Mus musculus: one gene and its partner. Each later gene encodes a partner of the first gene's protein in a complex. Links are inferred from orthologs where the notes say so. Each region holds a gene or a part of one and is shown in the gene's direction. Other genes may lie near its edges. The genes, in order: Gtf2e2 and Polr2j.

Evidence for each region.
Region 2: Gtf2e2 (region 1) and Polr2j share a complex: the UniProt entries of both Homo sapiens proteins name them as parts of the TBP-based Pol II pre-initiation complex. The link is inferred for Mus musculus from reciprocal best matches to the Homo sapiens genes GTF2E2 and POLR2J.

Annotation. Positions count from the first base shown.
Region 1 is NC_000074.6:33,773,286-33,777,094, forward strand, and holds part of Gtf2e2 (general transcription factor IIE subunit 2), read left to right. Parts: intron 1-2,658; coding exon 2,659-2,774; intron 2,775-3,167; coding exon 3,168-3,284; 3' UTR 3,285-3,809. UniProt on the Homo sapiens protein: Recruits TFIIH to the initiation complex and stimulates the RNA polymerase II C-terminal domain kinase and DNA-dependent ATPase activities of TFIIH. Both TFIIH and TFIIE are required for promoter clearance by RNA polymerase.
Region 2 is NC_000071.6:136,115,334-136,119,656, forward strand, and holds the start of Polr2j (DNA-directed RNA polymerase II subunit RPB11), read left to right. Parts: upstream 1-1,357; 5' UTR 1,358-1,419; coding exon 1,420-1,472; intron 1,473-4,323. UniProt on the Homo sapiens protein: Core component of RNA polymerase II (Pol II), a DNA-dependent RNA polymerase which synthesizes mRNA precursors and many functional non-coding RNAs using the four ribonucleoside triphosphates as substrates.

The DNA of each region.
Region 1 (3,809 bases):
GCGTAAAGAATTGGAAGCCAGTTTATTATGGTGAACGATAGCAGAAGATGTTGCTGACCAAGTGTACATCCTGATTAGATTGCCTCACTGCAGGCTTGGCAAAGGAAAGGCGTTCCCATTTCCAGGCATACAGACTATTACCTCTGATTTCAGCTGGCCACAGAGGATGTCCTGCTTGGGAAAAAAATGCATAAAAAGAGACAAAGGAAAATATTATACTGTTGAGACCAGGTCAGTAATGAGACCAAATTCTTAAGACACAGATATTTAACTACTAGATAAACTGCTAAACACAGAATTTAAAATAAAGGTTAATGTTGACCTAAGTAGTAGAAAAGGCCAGACCAACTGTATGATGAAGTGGAATATGTCACTAAGAACATCTAATGGAAAGTGTGGTGACAGAGCTGAAGAGCAACTCCAGTAGCCTCTCAGGACACATGACGTAGTAGCCAAGGGGACATTTTTAACGATCTGTAGGACAATATCACATGGTCTTCAATTATCTTCATGGATAATTTGAGTCTGAAGGAGATGGTGGAAGAGAAAGTTGAATATCAGTGGCCAAGAATTTTCTAGAATTAATGACATCAAACCAGGATGGATCTAAGCACGTGAGATAAGTCATGCCTCTCCAAGCCAATGAAAGAGGAAAACATCAGACTTGGTTTATTCAGACTGCTAACTACTGAAGATGAAGACAGTGAAAGAAGAGAAAGAGTCATTACAGAGGAACAGATAATTACAGCAGAGCTCTTAAAAACTCTGTGTGTGTCTTTCTGTCTGTAATCCACATCCAGTTGACTGCTGCACATAGTATGAGATAAAGAGCCTGCCTTTCCTGCTTGTAGATTCAATTATTTTTCTGGCACACTTTGTGTTTTGTGTGTGTGGATGTTTTGCATGCATGTATATCTGTATGCCACCTATGTGCTTCGGACCCGCAGAGGCCAGAAAAGAGCCTAATCCCAAAGCCGGAATTAAGAGATGGCGTGAGTAAGCCACCATGTGGGTGCTGAGGGTGCCAACCAGGGTCCTCTGGAAGAGCAGCTGGTGCTCTTAACTGCTGAGCTATCGCTCTGGCCACACTGACTCCCCAAGACATTATTAAAGAGACTGTTTCATTTTCTGCTTTTACATTATTAAAAATCAATTGAGATATTTACTTTAACTGATATTAAGATAATCCTCTCTGTACTCTATTCTGTTTTGTAGGTTGACACTTCTTTATTTTTATGCTGTTTTGATTACTGTAGCTTTGTAATGTGGTTTGTGGTCATTGTTGTCTCTTGCCTCCAACTCTGCTCCTTTTAGCTTAAGATTGCTGTCTTAGTCTTTTATTAAGAAGTGTCACAGACTGGGTGAATTATAAAGCAAAGAGGTTTATTCAGAGACCTTCTTCCTGGTAGAGTTCTGGGGTGGTGTAGGGTGTCACATGTAGAAGGCGTGGGAACATACCAAACAGTAGCCAGACTGGCTGTATGAACTTTGACTCTTGAAATAATGCATTAGTCGCTTGCATGTATTCACATGCACTTTAGTCACCATTTGTTTGCTTTAGATTGAAAGTTTGGGGAAAAAATTATCTTTTTTATTTTTTTATTTCTTGCATGGGTATTTGGCCTGCATGTGTGTTGGTGCTCTTAACTACTAAGCAGAGCAGTGGAGGCAACACGAGCATGAGAGCCCCTAGACCTAAGTTAGAGATATCTGTGAGCTGCCATGTGGGTGGGTACTGGGAACCAAGTCATGTCTCCTTGAAGAACAGCCACTGAGCCGTCACGTAGCTTGCATGGTAGTGGAGTGGCAAGGAGGGGAGGTGTGTGCTGGTGTAGGGTTGGCAATAGTCAGGCCTGCAACCTCCTCGGCTATGGTGAACAAGAAGCCTAGCGCAGCATTAGGGGCTTTGCCATTCTCAGTCCCCAGAGCACACTGTAAGGCTTTGCTGTCGTCACAGGTGGGCTGTGTGTGGGAAGGGCTTCAAGGCTCTTAGTGAGCCTGCTCAGTACAGCTAGCTGCCTTTAGGAGCAGAATTTAAAGCATAAACGATTATTATTTTATACATGTCTAGTATAAGAATGGGATACGTGGCTAGACACCTACCTTTTTCCTTTGTTCATAATAGGGAGTGTTCTCAACCTACCCTCCTCCTCCTCTCCTTCCTCTTCCTCATTGTTGTTGTTGGAATGGAAGTGTTAACTGCTTCTCTTCCCTTTGAAGGTGGGAGAAGCTTCAGTCACACAGCCTTCTTCTAACTAAATCATAAAAAGCAGAGCACACTGGTGGCCCTGTCACTGCTGCCTTCCAGGTCACACAGCCTCCAGCACTTGACATACTTTTGCCGTTTTCTCTTTCTCTTGTGTCCGTGTCTCTGTTTCACTCTTTCCTTCTTTCTTTGTTGAGACCGTGTCTCACTATGTATCCTCATTGTTTGCCTGGAACTTGCTGTTAGGCAGGGCTGGCCTTGAACTTGTGGAGGTCTGCCTACTTTGCCTCCTGAGTGCCTGCCAGGGTTTAAGGTATTTCTTTGTTTTCTTAGTTAAATCTAAGATGTACTAATTTAGGCCCAGGACAGATACTATTCAAGGTGAATTTTGATCACCAAAAATGCTGTGGTTTATACAAATTTATGGTAAAATAATTACTGTCTTGGTACAGAATTCCAGAAACTGTGGAGGAGTGTCACTGTGGATTCAATGGATGAGGAGAAAATTGAAGAGTATCTGAAGCGACAGGGTATTTCTTCCATGCAGGAATCTGGACCAAAGAAAGTGGTATGTATTCTTTAGAAAAGCAGTTTAGTCGCTTCTTCTGAACGGTTAGCTGCTCCTCATCCTGCTGTCCAAGAGTGAGGGAGGGATTCCCTCTGATGGAGACAGCACAGAAATTCATCGCCTCTCATTTTACTGACTTAATGCCCAGGAGAGTTGTGTTTTGCTTTTGTGCCTGCCTGCTCTTTTCCAATGGAGGTTTATAAAGCCTTGTGGTATCAGAAGGCACAGCTCTAGATGGAGGCTGGGTGTACTGTGAATGGGGTGTTTGAGGTCGGACCTCCAAGCAAGAACCAGGAAAGGCTCAGAACCCTGTGCTTTGAGCTTGTTGAGTAAATCTTAACCTTCTGTCCCCTAGGGTCACTTGTGTTTAACTGTCTTTACCTTGTCCTGCAGGCCTCTATTCAGAGAAGGAAAAAGCCTGCTTCACAGAAAAAGCGACGGTTTAAGACTCACAATGAACACTTGGCTGGAGTGCTGAAGGATTACTCGGACATTACCCCGGGCAAATAGGGAACACTTTTATTCCTAAACACAGTTACAGACACGCAGTCGAGATCTTTCTTGATGCTTGGGATCTCAAGACTGTCTGCCTTCCTGCCTGCTCCTCAGGCCTGAGAGAGGAGCTGCTCAGTTTACAGAACAGGAGCGGGTTACCAGACTCATTCTTTTCATCCAGCAGGCTAGTGGGAAGGAATGGGTGTTCCTGTTTAACTTTCTGGGTTTGTTTGTTTTATTTTATTAGAAAGACACTTATATGACACTCAGGTGTCTGCTATTTATCTTGATTTCTAAATGGTTCTGGATTCCATGTTTTCTCTATTCGTTTAGAAGAAGTTGGAGGATGGTGCTGAATGCAGTTTTGTTTATTCCAAGAAAAAATATTTATAATAAAATCATTTGTAGGAAGATGTTTAAGAAGTTAGGAAATTCAGTTTGTCTCTTACTTCTTGAAAATGGCAGGGAGCAGCTGCAGCCCCTGACTTGTCTGGGGGGATGTTTAGGATATGACAGAGGTTAGAGTCAGTACTGTTGGCG
Region 2 (4,323 bases), on another chromosome or scaffold:
TCTACAGAGCAAGTTTCAGGACTGCCAGGGTTGCACAGAGAAACACTTGTCTTGAAAAACAAACAAAACCAAGACAACAACAACCAGAAGCAGCCAGGCGTGGTGGTCCATGCCTTTAATCCCAGCACTCGGGAGGCAGAGGCAGTCGGATTTCTGAGTTTGAGGCCAGCCTGGTCTACAAAGTGAGCTCCAGGACAGCCAGGGCTACACAGAGAAACCCTGTCTCGAACCCCCCCCCCAAAAAAAAAAAACAAAAAAACAACCAACCAGAAGCATCTTAAGGAAGGGTATACAATGCAGATGTCATAGCAACAGGATTCCCAGGCAGCCAAGCACACTGCATCTGCGCCAGGAAGCTGTAGTCTGACTCCTGAGCCTCTAGGATGATGCCATACACGTCTGTCTTCCTCAGTCAAATCTGTCTAGAATCCCAAAGACAACCAAACGTTCTTTATTATGGTTATGATTATTATTCTCTATTGTGAGTGCACACATGTGTAAATGCATACCGTGAAGGGAGGTCGGAGAAGTCTGTTCTCTACCACCACGTGGGTTCTGGGGACTGAATTTAGGTAATCAGATTTGGTCACACTCCCCCTTGCCCACTGGGCTGTCTTGCTGGCCCCTCCTAGGGGTTTGTTTCTAGGATGATTCTAAATTTCATCCGGTTGACAAGATGAGCCATCAGGGAGGCTGGAGAAATGGCTCAGCAGTTAAGGGTCTTACTGCTCCTGCAGGGGACTGGAGTTCGGTTCCCAGCACCCACTGGGGCAGGGGGGGCTCACAACCACCTGTAACTCCAGCTCCAGGTGACCCAACCCTCTTCTGGTCTCCAAAGGCACCTGCATATACGTGCCCATACAAGATATGCAAATAAAAATCTTTAAAAATAGGAAAAATAAAAGATTGCTACAGAGACCGCTGAAAAATGGCGAGGTGCAAAGCTTTCATCGTGTTTTTAGTTACCTGTGTGCTCAAGAGAAGATGCGCTGGTACCCCAAGCTCCTCCCCAACCTTTACATCCCTTCTTGCTCCACTGGTCCTCATCTAGAAGGCCTCATAAGTCCGCCAGTGTCGGCCCACCCGGGGGTCCTGCAGCAGCAGCCCACTTAGACTCTTAGTCCCATTCAGTCGGTACCGGGGAGCCAGCTACAGGTGGCTCAACTCCGGGCGCGGGAGCACGCGCCAAAACACTCAGCATGGACGCCTCGAACAAGGGTTCTAAACTGACGCATGCGCACGGCTCGCCCTCAGCCTTGCCTGCGCCTGCATTAGGTCATCCGAGCCGCTAGGGGGCGGGGGCCAGGTGCTTACACTGATTGGCTGCGGCTGAGAAATCCGGAAGTGGTCGCGCTTCGGGGCTCTGTTGGCGGAAGGAGACTGTGGGTTGGTGTCGGGGAGCGAGAGCGCGGCGCTAGGATGAACGCTCCTCCGGCCTTCGAGTCGTTCTTGCTCTTCGAGGGCGAGAAGAAGTAAGTGGAGGCCGGCGGAGGCGGGGACGGTTGCATAGGAGCCTGCCGGCCGTCAGCTCCGCTGGAGCGCCGCACTGCTCCTGTCTGGGGAAACCGAGGCGGGAGGCGGGCTTTGCTTTGAGTCTTCCGTGCTGCTCAATGCGAGTCTGCCCAGCTTCAGGCAGCGGCGCGAAGCACTGGCGCGTGCATGCATTTTGCAGTGGGAAATCGGAGGCTCTGGGACATGGAGTGTCTTGCTCCAGACACTTGGTTCATGATGACAGCTGTGAAGGGACAGAGACACAGCTCTCTTACACTCCTCAGCAACCTGAGGGTTTCTCCTAGATTTTCAGGGATCCCGACTTAGGCCAAACCCGGGTTCGTGGCTCCACGCTAAAAAGAATTTCAGGACTCTTCGGTTTAGTGAAGCAGGATTGGTGGGTTTTTAATTAAAGATACTTTAATATGGGCTTAAGCAGGAGGGTTCAGAGGAAGAGAGCGCTAAGAAAGTAAGACAGACGCAAGTTGGGTCTGTGTGCATTCAGAGAGCAGGGGGAAGTACTTTGCACTCGAGTGGCTACAGGTTTAGAGATTAAGCATCTAATTGTCTTTTGGAGGTAGGGTTTCTCTGTGTATCCTCCTTGACTGTCTTGGAACGAGCTTTGCAGACCAGACTAGCCTCAAACTCAGCGATCCACCTGCTTCTACCTGGGATTAACGGCCTGAGCCACCGGCTCTGGCTTTATGTAATTGTCTTAATGGTAGCCAAATACACTCTTTTGATGACTCAAAGTTTGCTACGAACCCTTCTCTCTTGTGTAACCCTTCTCTCGTGTGTGTGCCCCTTCTTGGAAGTCAGCTTAGTCTCTATCTCAGTGGGAAAAAGGTATGGAGGTGTGCTAGGAATCGTTTGTGAACCCCAAAAGATCATTAAGGAGCCGTTTCCATTAGGGTCTCTTTATCACAAGCTCGGGCTTGGGCTCTCCTCCAACCCAACCCTGACACAACAGGACAGGAAGAGAAGGCAGAGCAGCCTTGAACCCAGGACAAGGTTTTCTAGGGAGTGGGAGTGACGGGGTATGGAGCTTGGCAGGTATCTAACTGAATGTCTGTTGTAAGCTGACAGGTGGTGCTGTGAAGGGAGATGAACAATCACAAACTATCTGAAAGTAGATCTGAAGCAACCAGACTAATCTTTGATTAACTGTTGCTAGGGAGTAACTCTGGGGTATGGGCCAAGGGACAAGCCGTGAGGTCCTTCCTGGTACTTGGTTGCATCTTGGGTTCTGCTGTAGGTCAAGTTCTCAGGCTTTTTTTGCGGGGGGGGGGGGGGGTTCAAGACAGGGTTTCTCTGTATAGCCCTGGCTGTCCTGGAACTCACTTTGTAGACCAGGCTGGCCTCAAACCCAGAAATCCGCCTGCCAATGCCTCCAGAGTGCTGGGATTAAAGGCATGCACCACCACGCCCGGCTTTTTTTTTTTTCTTTAAGATGGAGGTAGCAGGTCCCAAGATGGAGTAGATTTGGCCTCTCAGAGGTATACCCCAGTGGTAGATTGCTTACCTAGCATGCACGGGGCTCATTTCATCCCTGTATCAATCAGTCAATAAATAATGAAGTTCTTCAAGATCCTCCGAGTTTGCCAGTACAGTGTACACTGCAGACCTGTAGCCGACACTGCTCATTCCTAAGAGGCAGGGTTTTGTGATTGACATTTGATAGCTACTTCAGCCTTCCTTGGGGGCATATTCTCAACTGAGAGCCCGGTTGTTGTCCCATGAGCAAGAGCATTTGGCCATCTGGAAAAGGTTCTGGTTGTCCCAGGCACGTTGGTATTGGCAGCGGGTGGATAGCAGCAAGGGATGCTGATAACAACCCTTGGTGCAGTAGACAGGCTCCCAGAAAAGGACAATCAGGTCCAAAACATCCATGTTCTGGGCTGGCAACATGGCTTGAGCGCAGGCACCCGCAGGCAAGCCTGATGACTTGAGTTCAGTCCCTGGGACCACTATGGTACCAGGAGAGACCTGACAATTACAGGTTGTCCTCTTATCTCAGACAGGCGTGGACAAAGTAAGAAAATATTTGTGTACCGAGTTTGAAAAAAGGAGCAATCCTTAACTGAGCGGTGGATTTTAATCCACCTTTAATCCCAGCACTTGGGAGGCAGAGGCAGGGGGATCAAGGCCAGCCTGGTCTACAGATCAAGTACGAAGAAATGTAGTCTCAAAAAAAACAAACAAAAACAAGGACTGCTAAGTCCATGCTCCCTGGTATATAAATAGGAGGCCATCACAGGGGAGAGGCGGTTCCTTGTTAGCATTTATTGATTGATTGATTGTCATGCTGAGGACTTGTGTGTAGATCTGAGTTCTGCTTCCAGTGTTTCTCCAGGGGCATGGGAAGTGGAGACAAGCACAGTGTGTCCATTGGCAAATGAGATTCTACCTTAAGCAAAGAGAAAGGCCAGGGTGATGGCTGAGGTGTTTCTCTATCCTCCTGCCTCAGCCTCCCAAATTGCTGGGATTACTGGTCTGAACTACCAGGCAGGCCTACCTTGTTTATTGTTTGGACGGTGGGAGTGGTGGAGATGAGACCCAGAGACTTACACATGGGAGGTTAATGGTTGGCCACTGAACCATGCCAGAGCTCTGAGTCCTTTACTGGTGAGTAGACTGAAAAAGGCCTCCCAGGGCTAGACCTGTAGCTCAGTGGTTGAGGGCTTTGCTTAGCACGCTCAAAACCCAAGGTGCAACTCCAGTAGCCATTGGGGATAGATAGTAGGGCTTGCAGAATGATAGACCTGGGCCTACCTTGATTGTGAGGGGCCTTGGGGGTTAAGTGTCTCCTGGTCTCTCCCCTGTACCCACTCC